4 linked regions of the Macaca mulatta genome follow. The protein of the gene in region 3 interacts with the protein of the main gene of each other region in a pairwise test. Links are inferred from orthologs where the notes say so. Each region holds a gene or a part of one and is shown on either strand. Other genes may lie near its edges.

Region 1 (3,265 bases), on a different chromosome or scaffold from region 3:
CAGAACAGGAAAGGCCTTATGTTAAAACAATTCAGTCCTTGAGTCCTTGGCTAACAACTAGACTGAACTACCTACCTGACTTGGAGCTAAAGTGTCCCGGAAAACATATTTTAAAAATGTTAACACTTTTCTCCCCTTGTAGAACACTTTAAATTTAAACTTATAGTCTAGACTATACAGATCAAATTCATGTTAATGACTATATAACCAGACTAAGTGGCAGACAGTGCAAAGGTGAAGAACTGAGGATTTACATACTAAAACAGGAACAGGGCAGTCATTATTTAATTTTTAAAACTCTCATTTAAATTTGCAATGCTTTGGCTGGGTGTGGTGGCTCAAGCCTGTAATCCCAGCACTTTGGGAGGGCAAGGTGGGCGGATCTCTTGAGGTCAGGAGTTTGAGACCAGCCTGGCCAACATGGTGAAACCCTGTCTCTACTAAAAATACAAAAATTAGTCGGGTATGGTGGCACTCGCCTGTAATCCCAGCTACTCAGGAAGCTGAGGCAGGAGAATCGCTTGAACCCAGGAGGGGGAGGTTGCAGTGAGCAGAGATCATGCCACTGCACTCCAGCCTGGGTGACAAGCAAGACTCCATCTCAAAAAGAAAATTAAATAAATAAAATAAATTTGCAATGTTTTAAATGAATATCACTTAAAGTAGTAATCAACAGAAGTTAGGAGAACATAACAGTACTCTTTCTCTTAGAAAGTACAACAAAAATATAATTTTTTACAGTTTTACTCTCAAACTTTTCTCTATGTAGTAACATGCCTTACTCACCTCTACAATAGGTTTGTTGTGAGAATCTTATAATGTAAACCCTGGACGTCCTATGAAGCATTTTTAAACTTCTAGTTTATGTCCTATTGATTCTTATTCAAGTGTTTTTCAAAAAATATTTAAACAACTATTCTTTTCTTGCCAATATTTTTATAATTTCCAAGAGGTTTTAAGGATGTTGAGAGAACATTGATTTCAGAAGTATCTACTACTATTACTAGTCAAGAACACAAATGTAGGCAGAGGATTTAACATTTCATCCTATATACATCTTAATCATCCTAACGGTAAAAACTCACATGAAACTTTAAGATACAAGATGATATGAGAATCTCAACATGGAAAGCTGTCACTATAACTACAAGCAGTGTACAAACATACTTCTACTTTTACCTACATAAGCTGACAGATGTTTAAAATACTGAGTTAACAAAGATCTTTTAGTAAAGTGACTTAGGCAGGCTTAAACTAGCAAGGATTAAGGATGAATCCTTACTAATTAATTGGAAGATCTGAGACATATTTTATATTTCATTTTACAAAATCAGAAATACTTATTTTGAAACAAGATAAGAAGACATGGTCTACCTGTCAAAAACCTACCACTCAGAAATATTTTTCATCCACAAAGCAGGAAAAACATAAAACCATTTACATTTCACATTGGCACCAAAAAGGTTAACTGCCCTGCCTTCTTGGATTAGAAAAACTAAAGCTGAGTGATAAGTACTTTTGCAGGCGTTTGAACATGCCTAAGCCTTTAAATCAGTAAAATACTTTCTAAAAATTCTGATTACAAAAGTAATACATACTTATAAAAAATTCAAACAGAACAAAATGAAAAAAATAGAAAGTGAAAGGCCCCTATAAAACCCCTCTGAGGCCCCTTCCCCAACCCCCCCAAAGAGAAACCACATTTAACAGTTTGGTGTCTATCTTTCCAAATCTTTTGTTCTATACATATAAGAAACATACATACTTTGATTGCCTCAGACTATACATAGTGTTTTGCCACTTGCATTTTACACTTAATATATCTTTCACATCTTTCCATGTCAGTACATCTTGGCTTGATAGTATTCTATCATTAAATACCCTTTCAAAAATGGCAAATCACTTTTAAAAAATTATTCGCACAAGTACGTGTTTATAATTTTAAAAGAAAATGGACAGAATCCTAACACACAACAACCAACCTCTAAAAATAATCTCTATCTTTCCACCAGCATGGAACAATTATTCCTTTTTCACACAAAACAAATTATGTGATTGGGGAGATTAATCTCCACATTTATATACAGAAAGCTCCATTTGTTAAGCCTATCTGAAAAGAATAAAAAATCCAGATGATTAATTCACTTACACTTAGAAATTAAGTCAGTATATGATGAATACACATTGTGTTCAGTTATAATATGATGCTTCTTAGTCTAGGGTTTCAATTAGATAACAGTAAAAAAAGTTGGATAAATAATACAGCTAATAGCCTGAAAAATCCAGAAATTCAAAGATTATATTGCCAACTAAAACACTGCCATGTACATTTTTTTTCTACTTGGTAGCAAATGCTAATGGAATTCAATCCTGATTACTTAAAAGTCAGTTCACATCACACATTCAATCAGGGTAATAAGAAGAACATAACATCCCTACTACAGAGTTAGATTAAGACATAAAAATTTTTTGCTTGAAAGTAATGACTGTGTAGCACATGGGACACTTGTCAACTGCTTCAGCACATTGTTTACAAGTGACTAGATGTCCACAAGGAACAAAAACGATAGCAATATTTCTATCCATACAGATTTTGCAAAGCTTCTCCTCTTGCAGGCGCCTTAGCTGCTCTTCAGTACTAATCTCTGCAAAAAGAGAAAAGAATTATGCTAGTTTTAGACTTTCTTAGTTGTTTACATTCATTGAAAATATTTATTGAACCCCTACTACGTGCCAGGCACCCAACAAGTGCCAGGAGATATGAGGATGACTCACACATGGCATCTGCTCTTAAATAGCTCACAGGCTAGTGGGAGAGGATGTAAGATGAGGCTATGGAGGTTAAGCACAAAGTACAAAGTGATAAGTGCTGTAATAAAGTTATGTACAAAGTGCTCTGGAACAAGATGAGAAAACAAGTTCTTCTGCTCAGGCTAGTTGGAGAAGGCTCCACAGGTTGGCAGTGGCTGGATCGGGGGAGGAGGGAAGCGGAGGAGTGACATTTAAGCATGGGCAGTAATTTGCCAGGCAGAAAAACAAGGGTTAGGTAAAAGGAGCAGCATATGGAAAGGTCACAACTAATTCCAGAAATAGAGGGATGGATTTGAGGGACACCTCTGAAGTGGGACAAGTAGGACTGGGTGACTGACTGGATATGAGGGCTGAAGAAGAAAGACAAACTAAAGTTGATTTCAAGATTGCTAGCTTGGCTGACAAGGATATGGTGATGCCAATAAGAAATATAAAAGGAGGTACAGGTTTGGGA
Region 2 (4,785 bases), on a different chromosome or scaffold from region 3:
AGTTAGATGGAGACTCCATCTCAACAACAACAACAAAATGTATTTTAAGGCAATATTTGTAAAAATCAAAATTAATGCCAAAAATTGATAATGAACAAAATATCACAATTTTAGAGATAGGATCCGATTACAGACTCAGGATTGGTAGGGTTGGGTGGGGAGCTCTCTGTGGGTTTGCCTTTTCTGAGCTAAATTCCAAATTCCTGGAGTAGGTTGTGAGCCTTGGGTCGCTTTCCCCCTTCTTTGGGCTCTTATGAAGCTGATATTTCTTGCCTCCTTCCTCCCCTTGAGTTAAATTCCAAAGGAGGTCTCAAGCATCTGAGCAATAAAGATTTCCATGCTGAACAGCGAGTTTGTCTGGAATCACAGAGGGATGAGTGAGAGTCAGCTTTCTGGGCCCTGCCTCACCTGCTACTGGTGCTCCCGAGGGGACCCTTAGGGAAGCCCAGGGCCTCTGCGGATGGGAACCTCCCTCCACCAAAGTCTGACTCTGAAGTGTGCAGGCCGTTCAGCAGAGGGTGTCCCTGTACTCCTGGGTGGCCAGCTGCTTAGCGTGAATGCTCTCTCTGCATTGCAGGGCCATCGGTCACTTGCCAAAAAGAGAGCTGGTGCATTTGGGTTTTGCTGAGACTCGGAATGCTGGAAGATTCTGCCTGAGCCCAGCAGGCTCTTGGCTTTGCTATCCCTTTTCAATGCCCTTGGCTCTCAGTTCCCTGGAAAGTGGCAGAGAGGAAGGAGCCACGGTGCCGGGTGCCGCCACCAAGGGGAAAGCTCTTCAACCCAGCTCAGAGTCAAGTCGCTGAGAGTCCCTTCTCATCCTTAGCACATTTCCTACCTGGGGTAGGATGAGTTAGTTTGCGGGATGGGGATCTAACTGGCTGGAGGTTTAAAGGGCCCTTCTATTTAGCAGCCGCAAGGGCTGCTAGGGTTCCTATTACTCATTGTGAGCTCACTGAGGGGCTTCTTCAAGCAGGGAAACCAAACATCATTTCAAAATGAGGATTGCGTTGGAAATCTACTGAAGGGTGTGACATCGGGGGCCTGAAGCCTGGGGTTTGAGCTCACTTCTAGAGTGACCAATTCTCCTGTTTGCCTGGGACCATGGGGTTTCCCAGGACACAGGATTTTCAGTGCTAAAACTGGAAAAGTCCTGGGCAAATGGAGATGAGCTGCTCACTCTATTTTGACCCCATTCTTTCTGTGTTCTCACAAACTTTCAGTCTTTCATTTTGCAGATTGAGAGAATCGAGATACTAATAAAACCTGCTGTCCCTATCTCCCAAACCCGTGGGACTCAAAAGAGCTGACGTCGGTATCCCATGGCACCGTAAGCCTCTCCATCAGGGCACATCCCACTGCTGACACACCTCTGCCGGCCTCTTCTTCCTCTCAGCTTGAGCTTTTCTGGGTAAGACCCCTTTACTCACCCAGAGCATTCCTGGGCTTGGCTAAGAGCAGAAACTCGGGAAAGCTGTGCTGATAAAGCAAAGCACAAAGCATTCCCACCTGTTCATTGGTGCCCTTCTTTTCTGGCCTGTCCTTCTTAGCCCCATGGGAAGGTCGTCTACAGGCTCCGACAGACAGGCGTGCCCCTGAGGGCAGCTGTCAGGAGGAAAACAGGGCAGTGCGGGCAGGAGGCTTGGGCACTGCCCTGTTCCGAACAAGGCCGGGACGAGGAACCAGACAAAAGATGAACAGGCAGTGTGAGAAACCAGGGAGGGCCTGGTGGGGAGGTGAGGAAACAGCAGGTCCCCACCCTGGGGAAGAGAAGGGTTTCAGCTGGAATCTTAACAAATAGGCCAACCTCATCCTCCAGCCTCTGGGACTCCAGCACGGACTCCCTTGGCTGCCTGACTCTCCTGGAGGCTGCCCATCCCTCACAGTTCCTTGCGGGGCTGCCTTCCCGGGGGCTCAGCCAGATCTCAGCATGCTAAGTTGTCCCCTTGGCCTGGACATGGCCCAGCTCCACAGGGTGATACCCCAAACCTCAGTCCTCCATCTCCCCCTCACCCCTGGACTCTCCTATCCAGCTGCAGGCCTGCTTCTCTGCCTCTAGGCTCCTGGACACATAGGGTCTTGGCTGTGGGTGGCCACCCAGGGTCCCAGCTTCAGTCTTAGCTCTCAGAGCCTTAATCTCAGCTGACTTCCCTGGTAAACGAGCCCTGTGGCTCTAGCACCACTTGGGGCTGGCCAAAGCATGGTGGGGAGGAGCATGACTCAATGGCAGCCTGATGCAGGAAAGCCTCTCACCAGCCCTCGCCAGTCTGCACCCAGAGGATCCATTTCACGTGTCCAAATCCTTGCGGATCCTGTTTCATTCTCTCGCTGGGACACCCTTCCTGGGGCCCAGGAGTGCTGGGACACAGACACGGTCCCCATCACCAGAGAATCCTAGAACTCTCAGTGGAAGAAACCCCAAAGGTAACTGGTCCAGTCTCCTGCATTTGGATAGGCTAGACAGAAATTCATGGACAGAGCACCTAGGCACAGAGAGGGTGAGTAACTTCCCCAAGGTCACACAGTAAAGGAATGATCAGCTGCTCCTGAGCCACCTACCTGAACTCTCCTTTCTCCGCCTGGATGATTTCTTCTCTGTCTCATTGGCAGTGCTCCCAAACACCCCGTAGTCCTCACCTGGGCCTCCTGTGGTGTCCACCAGGCCCAGGCTGCTGGTCCCCATTTCCTTGGAACCCCCTGCCAGGCCTGAGTTGGGCCTGCGCCGGGCCTCTGAGACAGGGAAGTGCCAGTTGGGGGACTGTGGGAAAGCAGGGTGCTGCTCAGTGAAGATGCGCTCCTCCTGAGGCAGGCTGTGTGGGGTGGCCGCCAGGCAGGAGGCTGAGAAGTCGGGGTACGCTGCCGTCGCTGTCGCCGGGAAGTCTGGTTTCTGGTGGAAGGAGAACGGGGTGGGCGGGTAGTGGGGTAGCCCTGAGGCCCCATTGCCTTCTGAGTGGGGGTTTCGAAGGCAGCCCCAGACAGGGGCTGGGGGCTGGAGGCTCCTCATGCAGCTGCTGGCCGGGGGATCCATCTGCTGTCCGCTGCACGCCTCAGTCCTTTCAAAGATTTGATTCTTTATACTTTTTATGTTCAAATTTTTAAAAATGCAAAAGAAAAAAAATTAAATAGGAGGGAAAAATATTCAACAGAAAATTTACCCCAGGAACCAAAAAAAAAAAAAAAAAAAACTAAACTAAAGTCTCTCCTTAAAGTACACACACATGTGGCCAGCTACTCCTATGTGTGTGCACACACCTATATTGGGCTTGCTCCTGCCCCTCCAATGCACCAGCCTGCCTACTGGGGTCCCCTGTACGTGTATTTGTCGCCAGTGACACTAAACATTTTCACTGTCCCAACCCAGAAGCACCAGCTGAGGAGGAGCTCGTCCTGGAGCCCAGAGCAAATGCCTGCAGAGGGCTGGACCAGGGCTGCTGGGACACACTTTAAATCCTGCGGTGGGGAGAGAGTGACAAATTTCTGAAGTGAAATGTGAGAGAGGAGAGGGAGGGGTTAACCCGCACACACAAGATCCCCTCCAACCAAAACCCTAGCAGGCAACTATTAATCATCAGAAACCTTATATGCACATCTAATGGGATTTGCAGATGGAGACTTTTAAAGAAACATTGTCTGTATTTTTTTTTTATTTTAAAGAAAGCAGCACTCACGCGCGCGCGCGCGCGCACACATACACACACACACACACACACACACCGTCTTTAATGTGCCTCCTGTAACACTATGAAGTTATTTTTATTGCACTGCTAACAAAATTCCCCAAGTCTTGGATTTAGAAAAAGCCTTAAGTCAGATCCAGAATCCGTCAAATGCCAAATTCCAGGGAGTGAAGTGAGGAATAAAAGCAAGAGACAAGCTTGGTGATTGCATTTGATTTAAAGGCCCTTCTACTGCTGCCTGCGAAAAAGGAAGGTGGATTAAAAGAAATCTTTTTTGCAAGTCTCAGCGGCCCACTATGGTCTGTAGTATAAAGAAAGGCACACTCTAGAAAAAAAGAATTTCTCTCTGCCCAGAGTGACATTCTCACTTTCTCAGTAACTTAAAAAAACAATCAGATTCTTCCTTCCGCTCTTTAACCTCCAACTTACATGCCAATTAGCCACAGTCTTCTCTAGAGAGGTTTCAAGTCATTTTTCTTCACAGCAATGGCAAGGCTCTTAAATAAGGTCCTTGAAGTTTCTTCGGGTCTCCTCCCACCTGCTCCCTGCCCCCTTCACCTCCACCCACCTGCTTCCCTTTCTCAACCCTTAGAGGCGGAGGCTTCCGAGGAATTTGGGGCAGGGAAATAGGAATCAGGGGCTCCTCATTCCCCAGAGGAGCCTCTTTGGCAAGCAGGCACGTGGGTCTCCGGGCTGGTGCACATCACAGGGCAGCCAGCCCAAGTGCCATCTCGATGCCCAATCAGTCTTTCTCATGGCTGCACCCTGCTGGTCTCTCAGAGGGTTAATGCAATTTCTTGGAGGACAACATTCCTAACACCCAGGGGCCAGAACTCCTTCCCCACTGGTTATTGCCACAACCCAGGGCAGCAGGATTGGAGCAGAAACAGGCATGGGCCTTAACAGCAGCGTCTCTGCTGGCTGCTTCCGAAGACGGCCAGGGTTCCCTGAGGAGGGGCCCCTGGGTCTTAGCTCTGCAGCCTGGAGGTGGGGCCCTGGGGGGTGGGTGCAGGAGATGCTCCTAGGAAGAGTGGAAGGGCACCCAGGGATGTGGAATGAAGCCACGACTTGCCTTTAATATAGAAACTCCAGTCAGATACACATCCCGGGA
Region 3 (4,786 bases):
TGGTAGAAAACTTGCTCCTGTCACACCCACATGCCACACACCAACAAATCCATGGTCCTATCCACTTATGGATAGGCAGGCCTAGAGCTACTTCTGGGATGGAGTTGGTCCTGGGAAGGGAAGGCCAGGAGATGAGGCTGGGAGTCTGACAGCAAGTCTCTCTCCCTCTGGTGCCAAACCCTAAGTTCAGCCCCTTCAAATAGTTCTACCCTTGAAGGAGGTTAAGAAAGAGGAAAATGGGGCCGGGCGCGGTGGCTCACGCCTGTAATCCCAGCACTTAAGGAGGCTGAGACGGGTGGATCATCTGAGGTCAGGAGTTCGAGGCTAGCCTAGTCAACATGGTGAAACCCCCCTCTCTACTAAAAATACAAAAATTAGCCGGGCGTGGTGGCGGGCGCCTATAATCCCAGCTACTCGGGAGGCTGAGGCAGGAGAATCACTTGAACCCAGGAGGCGGAGGTTGCGGTGAGTCGAGATCGCACCATTGCACTCTAGCCTGGGCAACAAGAGCGAAACTCTGTCTCAAAAAAAACAAAAAGAAAGAAAGAAAAGAAAGAAAGGAAAACGGCTGCCTTTAATCTCACTCTTCACAGTCAGAGATAGGAACTTTGACTTCCCACCTGGGGGAGCACGAGAGTGCTCGGAAAACTGATCCCAAAGCCCAAAAAAAGACAAAGGACAGGAAAATATAAGCAGGTGGAGTTTCAGGGATTGACGACAAGGCTTTACAGCTGATGACCCAGGTCCCACAAAGCTCGTAAGGGGGCGTGGTCCGCCAGGACGCGAACTTCAGACTTCTATGCGGGGAGGCTTTCTGGACAGTCAGACACGGATTACGAACAGGGCGTGGCTTCGGAGGGGCGGAGCCCCGAAGAGGCGTGGCTCCAACAAATTCGAATCGTTCTTTGAGGAGCAGGGTTTTGCCCTTTTGGGAGATAGGCTTTTTGACAGGAGTTAGCAGAGGATCGTTGCTAGGAGGCGGAGTTTCGGAGAATGGAAGGAGTAACCAAGGGTTTCACGTAGTAGGGCTTGGAACGTGTCTGGGGGTGGGACTTCCAGGAAAACTGGGCGACAGGGTGGGGTCGGAGACAAAAAATAAAAATCAAGTCGGGGTTCGGGGGAGCCCCCAGAGGTTGGGAGGTGGGACTTCCGGGGAGAGGGGTCTCAGGGGCGGGACTTATAAATGAAGACCGGAAGTGGGGTCCCGGGAGAGGGGTTCCGGAGTGGAAGAGTGAGTCACCTAAGGAGAAAAAAGTCAAGACTCACCAGGGCCTCATGGAGTCTCCGCACCGCACCGCGGGCCGATTTGGTTCCGGATCACGCCACTGCCAGCTTAGGTTACCGCTCCAACTTTCTCCCCGGGCCCTGCCTCCCTGGAGAAACTTTATTACACTCACTTCCGGCCTCACTAACCCCTGACCCTCTACCTCAGGGTCCCTCCTTCACGCTTCCCACTTTCCCGAGTTAGCCAATGGCAGCGCGAAATCGTGCACAGAGGCAGTGGTGGCCAATAAGACGCCTACTTTCGACCCACGCTCGTTCTTGAGAAACGTAAGAACTGCCCTCCAATAAGGACCCAAGAGAAGTAAATCTAAGCCAATCGGAGGCTTGGAAGTACAGCTGTCCCGCCTTGAGCCAAACGGACCAATAGGAAGTGCGGGCGGCGTGTTTGAAAGCGAGGCCAAAGTGGGTGGGAGCGCGTGCTGCTGGGAGTTGCTTGGAGGTTGGCGGCGCGGGGCTGAAGGCTAGCAAACCGAGCGATCATGTCGCACAAACAGATTTACTATTCGGACAAATACGACGACGAGGAGTTTGAGTATCGGTTAGTGCTGGCGCGGGGGCAACAGCGAGGTCGTGAGCTTTGACCGCTGAGGAAACAAGCAATTAGTAACAGGAACTGAGGCGATAGAATTGGCGCATGCGTACGAGATGTGAACGGGCAAGGGTGTGATATTGGTGGAAGGCGTAAGGCGCATGCGCGGAGGTGGGAGCCTCTCATAAAACAATAAAGTGGTTGCGAATTTGGAGTCTGCCCTCAGTTGAGAGGAGGGAGTGGTAGGCGTGGTTAGAGTACTGACCACCCACACCCATGAGGGTTTCTGGATCATTCTCTGAACTTTATTGGGCAAACTTAACTTGCCTTGTAGAAACTGTTAGTTTTACAGTAATCCTGTGGAATCCAGTGGGAGAACGTAGCAAAAGCGGAGCTTGGAGTTTCCTCGCGTCCCTAATGCGAGAGTAGCGCTGAGAGAGTTGAATATTGCTTATTAACTCGTGAAAAAGACAAGGGGCATGGTTGTCTGGCTTGTGTTAGGAAAGGGACCGCTTGGGACTGAAATGGAATAAAACTGGCTAGGAGCATTGAGAAAATACTTAATATGGGTCTAATAGATGCCCTTTATCAAAGGAAACGGTTACGGAATACTTAACAGGTTTCAGGTGTTCTGCAAGGATAACACATGGTCTCTGCTGTTCACAAACTTAAAACTGTGAGTGATACCGACGGACACCAGAAAGGTGATAACACCCTTTGCTAGGAGCCATTACAGGGTGTGATGGGAGCACACGAGACTTGATAAGGAGAGGGAACTGGCGACCCGAAGGCTGCGGCTTCCTAGCTGTGCGCGGGTGTTGGGGTGGGGCTAGAAAGTCAGTCCCCTACTTTTGCTAACTCCAGGACCCCCCCCCACCCCACCCTTCGAGAACCCCCGCCGCCACCGCCTTAGAGGCTGACTTCTTACTTTCGGTCGGTCTTCTTCCCTGGGCTTGGTGTGGGGGCGGGGGAGTGTCCTAAAGGCCAATTCAGTGTGATGACTCTTTCACCACCATTGAAAACGAAACCAGTAGTAAACTAAATACGCGTGTTTTCATTTATATGTCGGAGATGAGAACACTGGGACAGAAAGAGGGGAACAATAGACGTTGGGGCCTACTTGAGGGAGAAGGGTGGGAGGAGGGAGAGGTTCAGGAAAAAAAAAACTGTCGGGTACTATGGTTAGTACCTGGGTCATAAAAGAATCTGTACACCAAACCCCCGAGTCAGGAGTTTACCTATATAACAAACCTGCACACGTACCCTTGAACATGAAACTTAAAATACTGAGAGGAAAAAAAAAGGAAGAGGGAAAGTTGGGGAAAGCTTGCTAGAGGACAGAGCCTGAGATGAGACTCTAAGAAAAAGGTATGTGGGAGAAAGCACCTCTTGACTGAAATTGTTTAGAAGACACTGGATAGCCATCTGCCAAGGGTGGGGATGATGGAATCCTGGCACTGGATACAGCATTCGGGTTTGATAAATTTCAAGTGCATAATCTAGATTGGGAATAAGGGAAGACACAGGACTCCAAAATGTTGGCATTATGCTAATCTACATTGTGATAATTAAGACCACTTCCTGGTTTGTTATCTTGTCTCCTCAGATGGAGAACATAAAATGAAAACTTGCTTTTCTTGTCTCTTCACCCAGCCTAGTTCAGGGCTTTAGGTCTTCAGAGAACTCGATGTGCATTGACACATATATAATCATCTTTATACCAAGACGACTCCAGATCCTCTTTGATATAATTAACTGTCTTTTCCTCAGCTGTTTTCCTCTACATCTGAACTAAACTAACTTAAAACTGTATGTGCTTATAAGAGATTTGCAGAGCTGGGAAGGAATCACCATTTCATCCCCTAGAAGATGAAACTTTTAACTTGGCAATGGCATTTTGGTTTAAGAGGGGTTTTTTGGTCTATGTATTGAAGCCAAATTTTGTGCCAGGGTGGTGGTAGGATGTGAGCTGTTTTCATATATTTGGACTAGAATTTTTTCTTTTAGGAGAATGGGGGGGAAACCACTGTTACTAGCACAGAGAGAGAACTTAGTACATTTTCACTGAGCATGATGAAGACTATCTGGATTAGTTTGAGTCACATCAGGGTAATAATTTCTTTGCCATGAAGGGAGACTTATCCTTGGTTAGAAAAGCACGGAATTTCCCAAAAAAAGTCTCAAGGTACATCCCTCCAGAATTAGGAAGATAAGATTCAGGATAGATTTTTTTTTTTTTTTTTTTGGAAGAGACAAGGTCTTGCTTTATTGCCCAGACTGGAGTACAGTGGCTATTCACAGGCACAACCATTGTGCACTGCAGCCCTTTTTTTTTTTTTTTTTCTCTTTTTTTTGAGACGGAATCTCACTCTATTGCCCAGATCTCAGCTCACTACAACCTCCGCCTCCTGGACTCAAGGGATTCTCTCCTGCCTCAGCCTCCCAAATAGCTGGGATTACAGGTGCATGCCACCACACCCGGCTCTTTTTTTGTATTTTTAGTAGAGATGGGGTTTCACGTTGTTGGTCAGGCTGGTCTCAAACTCCTGACCTCAAGTGATCCACCCACCTCAGCCTCCCAAAATGCTGGGATTACAGGCATGAGCCACTGTCCCTGGCCTATTCTGTATTTTAATCAAAGATTTCAAACTTCATACTGTATCTTTGTCAAACTCCTGAGTTCAAATTACTCTCCTGCCTCAGCCTCCCGAGTAGCTGGGACTATAGGTATGTGCCACCATGCCTGGCTTAGATTTTAAAGGATATTTCATTTCATCCTTTGTGATGACTTGTCCACACAGTACTCCATAAAAGGCGTTTCCTCTCCACAGAATAACTTCTCTTCCTTCCTTCTAATTATTAACACTGTGTGCTCCGTGGGGCTCCCATTATATTGTAGGCAATCAACTAGAAGACTATAAGGTCCATGAAGGCAGAGAAAATGTGCCTGGAACTTAAGTGCTTATTCACTGG
Region 4 (4,028 bases), on a different chromosome or scaffold from region 3:
TAAATCAGAGTACGATTATGAATCTGCCGGAGGGGATTCTAGCAGCATTTCCTCTGTGCAAACCTTTTATTTTCTCAGTGTTTTTCTAGGACTTGTGTTTCAATCAATGTTACTTGGAGAAACATATAGCAGTGTTGAAATTTGTCCCCCAGGGGACATTCAGCAATGTCTGGAGACATACTTGGTTGTCACAGCTGGGAGCCAGGTGGCTATTACTGGCATCCAGTGGGTAGAGGCCAGGGATGCTGGTAAACATTGTGCAATGCACAGGACAGCCCCCATCACAGACTTGTCCAGCCCCAAATAATAATGGCACAATTGAAAAGCCCTGGCTTAGGGTAATTTCTTCCCCCATAGACCTATCCCCACTCCTATAGCCTCAGAAATTGGAGATGATGAGGGAGCAAGGAGGATAGGAGAAAGAGAAGAGGAGGAAGAAAAAATTAAGGAAAAAAAGGAAGAACTGAAAGAGAAAAACAGAGACAATAATAAAGGCAGAGGTAAAGAAGAGACCAGGGGAAAAAAGGAGAGAAGAAGTCAGATTCATAACTGTCTTGAGAGCAACCAAGATTTTCTTCAGTAGATGAAAGGATAAACTGTGATCTATCCAGACAATGGAATTTTATTCAGTGCTAAAAAGAAATGAGCTGTCTATGAATCTATGAAAAGACACGGAGGAAACTTAAATGCATATCCAAGAGAAAGAAGCCAACCTGAAAACGCTCCACACTTGGCGATTCCAACTATATGATATTCTGGAAAAAGCAAAACTATGAAGACTGTAAAAAAGATCAATGGTGGCCAGAGGTTGGAGGGGGAGGGAGGGATGAATAGGCAGAGCATAGAGGATTTTTAGCGATAAAAATACTCTATATGGTACTACATATACTCTATAATACTCTATATGGTACTACAATGGTGGCTACATGTCACTATACATTTAATCAAACCCACAGAATGTACAGCACCAGAAGCAAACCTTAATGCAAACTTACAGACTTTGGAATGATTATGATGTGTCCAGGTAGGTTCAAAGACTGTCACTAGTGTACCACTCTGGAGGGATGGTGATAATGCGGGAGATTATGCATTTGTGGAGTGGGAGTCTATGGGAACTCCCTGTCCTTTCTGCTCAATTTAGCTGTGAACCCAAAACTGCTCTAAAATATTGTCTATCTTTTATGAAACAAAGAAACCCAAAGAAAAAGGCCGCATGCTGGTGTCAACTGGCCCCAGCCTCCTCACACCTTTATTAATACTCTGAGTTTAGGAAGGCCACTAACGCTGCTTTTCAATAGGTACGAACTGGTTGGGAAAGGCGAGGACGACAAAGGCAGGCAGGGGATTCTCTTTTGCCCAGTGTTCGGTGTCCCAAACTCGGCGTCCCGGTGCACGGCGGAGGCCTCAGACCCTGCTGGGCTTCTTGGGGTCCTGGCTCCTGCCCGGCATGAAGGCGTAGAGCTCCTCAATGAGCATCTCCATGCGCGCGGTGACCTCGGTCACGGTGTCGATGACCAGCTTCTGCTGCAGCTTCAGCTTGTTGTTCTCCCACAGGGCCTTGTTTTCCTCCTGGAAGCCCCTGTGCTCCGCCCGTAGCACCTGCAGGGTCCTGTTCTCCTCCTGCAGGAGCCGGTTCTCCTTGAGCAGGGCCTGCAGCGCCTGCCTCATCTCTCTCAGCAGCTGCAGGGGCTGGCAGCCGTCGGGCAGGCCCGGGCCCGCCTTGGCCTCCTCCTCCCCGGAGGGCCCGGACATGTTGCTGACCATCTCCCGCAGGGCGCGCAGGGTCTTGGAGTCCTCCTGCGGGGCGGGGGGCCCTCTGGGCTCCTCGAAGTGGGAGGAGAGGCCGGAGCCCTGGTCCTGCAGCAGCCCGGGGCTGCAGGGCTCCTCGTGGGGCGAGGGGGCGGGCTTGCTTTCCTCGGCGGGGGCGGCTGCGTCCTCTGTCTGGGTCCAGTAGGCCTGTTTCTGCTCCAGCAGCTGCTGCAGCGCGCGGTTCTCCTCCCGTAGTAGCTGCAGGGTGCTGTCCTCCTTGCCGCGGGGCACCTGCAGGGCGACGTGGTCCTTCTTCACCACCTCCAGGGACGCGCTGTCCTTTTGCGGCAGCGGTGAGGGGGGCCGGCTCTCCTCCCGGCCCAGCGAGGCCTTGTGCTCCTCCCAGAAGACCTGCAGGATTTTGTTCTCCTTGCGGAGCATTCTGTTCTCCTCGCGCAGGGCCTTGTTCTCCTCCCGCAGAGACTTGTTCTCCTCCTGCAGCACGAACTCCTTGGCCAGCCTCTTGTGGTGCAGCTTGTGGTGGAAGGAGGCGGATGGGGAGAAGTAGGGAGACTGCAGGCGGCAGTTCTCATTCACCCAGCGCCCGTCCTGGAACACGAACATCTCGTCGCTGAGCTGCACCCGCGGCGGGTTGTAGTCCAGCTCCAGGTCGGCCTGAGACATGGGGCGCTCCATGGGGTCTAAGGGCACGGAGGAGAAGCGGTTCAGCGGGTAGGAGTGCTGGCTCGCCATCCTGCGGCTCAGCCGGGGCAGGGCGGCCTGCTGCGCGCAGCGAGGGATGCTGTGCAAGTTGTGGAGCCTCGGGAAGGGCTCGGCTGTGCCCCTCTGCGGGAGAGAATGGGAAAGCGTTAACGATGGGACAGACACACTCGGGGCTGGCTGACAAAGTAAGGGGCGAGGACATCCCCGGATAAGCCCCGTCTGATTGTCTGGCCTGGCCACAGTGGGCGTTTTTGCCTCTTGGGGTCCTCACAAGGAAATGTGGCGGATCCTTGTCATTCCAGTGAGTTCTGTTCTATTAAGTCATCTCCAACGCTGAATTACCAAATATAGAACCATTGCTCCTATGGGAAATAGAGGGCTACATTCCTGGGAGCCTGTGGTCACAATTTTGTCAACCAAACAATATATAACCTAATTTAGTGCTTATTGTTTATTGATTCATTAACATCGAACTCACGTCAGCAACACTGTTACGCATGCCCAAACAAAACTTCTCTAACACCTATGTTTTCTCCATGTGGCACAGCATAGCCTTCTTGTGATTGGGAGTACTAGACAGCACTTGACTTGGAATGGCGCGGAAGCCATTTTTAACAGCAAAATCACCAACAAAATGCACAAGAAGGCAAAAAAAAAAAAAAAAAAAAAAGTAGCACTAGATCGACTGCGCAATGGACCCTATTTTCTAGCCTGAGAGCTGAAACAAGAAGGCTCCTTGGCTGGGGACTCAGCCTTACACAACTCAAATTTTCACCTCTCTGTGCATGTCTGAGAATTGCCATAAAAGTGCTTTAAGTATTGATTTGGTGGATACACATTTTAGCAAGTAGGCAAATTCACAAATATGGAATCCATGAATAATGAGAAACAGTTATATATTATGGAGGTCAAAAGCATTAATTTTAGAGTCAACCAAATATTTTGAGTCTCTGCCTCACTACTTACCAGTTAACAAGAATTTGGACAAGTTATCTGAGCTTTAATTTCCACAATTTCAAATTGGGATAATTGTATTTACTCCTTGACTCCTAGAGACATTTTTAGGATTAAAAAAGGTAATGTACAAAAGCACTAAGCATGGGCTCTAGCACATTCTGTCACCCTAAAGGAGGAACAAACACTGTTCTCAAGGGCCACTGCCCACAGGTGTGTACTCTCACTTAGCATGAGCAGAGAAGCAGCATGAATCATCCAAACAGCCACCCAAATTGCTGTGTCCGAAATGGTGGTGCCATTGATCAGCCCAGCCTTCTCTCTTGCCCATCTGGGCATATCCTTCACTCTTAGCCACCCTTGCGTCTTTTCTGCTAGCAGCCCCTTAAACATCCACTCCAGCTTCCAATGCAATGCTAGACTCAAAGCAGAGTCTAACTAATAATTTTGGAAGGAAAGAAAAACCATCCCAGACATATCACTGAGCAATGAGCATTCAACATGTGGTGATACAGCCAGCCAAAGACCCTGAAGAATTCATGATGGTGGCCACAGACCTCAAGACCACAGCATAAAACGGGGTTCAGATCCACAGAACTTAA

What was found.
Region 1: the proteins of CKS1B (region 3) and XIAP interact in a two-hybrid assay, tested with the Homo sapiens proteins (3 studies listed by BioGRID and IntAct). The two-hybrid records come from large-scale screens. The link is inferred for Macaca mulatta from reciprocal best matches to the Homo sapiens genes CKS1B and XIAP.
Region 2: the proteins of CKS1B (region 3) and MEOX1 interact in binary tests that used the Homo sapiens proteins (3 or more experiments, as listed by UniProt). The two-hybrid records come from large-scale screens. The link is inferred for Macaca mulatta from reciprocal best matches to the Homo sapiens genes CKS1B and MEOX1.
Region 4: the proteins of CKS1B (region 3) and CBY2 interact in binary tests that used the Homo sapiens proteins (3 or more experiments, as listed by UniProt). The two-hybrid records come from large-scale screens. The link is inferred for Macaca mulatta from reciprocal best matches to the Homo sapiens genes CKS1B and CBY2.

The regions. Positions count from the first base shown.
Region 1 is NC_133426.1:130,341,294-130,344,558, reverse strand, and holds the end of XIAP (E3 ubiquitin-protein ligase XIAP), read right to left. Parts: intron 2,646-3,265; coding exon 2,452-2,645; 3' UTR 920-2,451; downstream 1-919.
Region 2 is NC_133421.1:68,004,704-68,009,488, forward strand, and holds the start of MEOX1 (homeobox protein MOX-1), read right to left. Parts: upstream 3,170-4,785; 5' UTR 3,026-3,169; coding exon 2,557-3,025; intron 2,161-2,556; exon of another isoform or gene 1-2,160. UniProt on the Homo sapiens protein: Mesodermal transcription factor that plays a key role in somitogenesis and is specifically required for sclerotome development. Required for maintenance of the sclerotome polarity and formation of the cranio-cervical joints.
Region 3 is NC_133406.1:112,025,976-112,030,761, reverse strand, and holds the start of CKS1B (cyclin-dependent kinases regulatory subunit 1), read left to right. Parts: upstream 1-1,688; 5' UTR 1,689-1,763; coding exon 1,764-1,822; intron 1,823-4,786.
Region 4 is NC_133422.1:24,984,252-24,988,279, reverse strand, and holds the end of CBY2 (protein chibby homolog 2), read right to left. Parts: intron 2,596-4,028; coding exon 1,405-2,595; 3' UTR 924-1,404; downstream 1-923.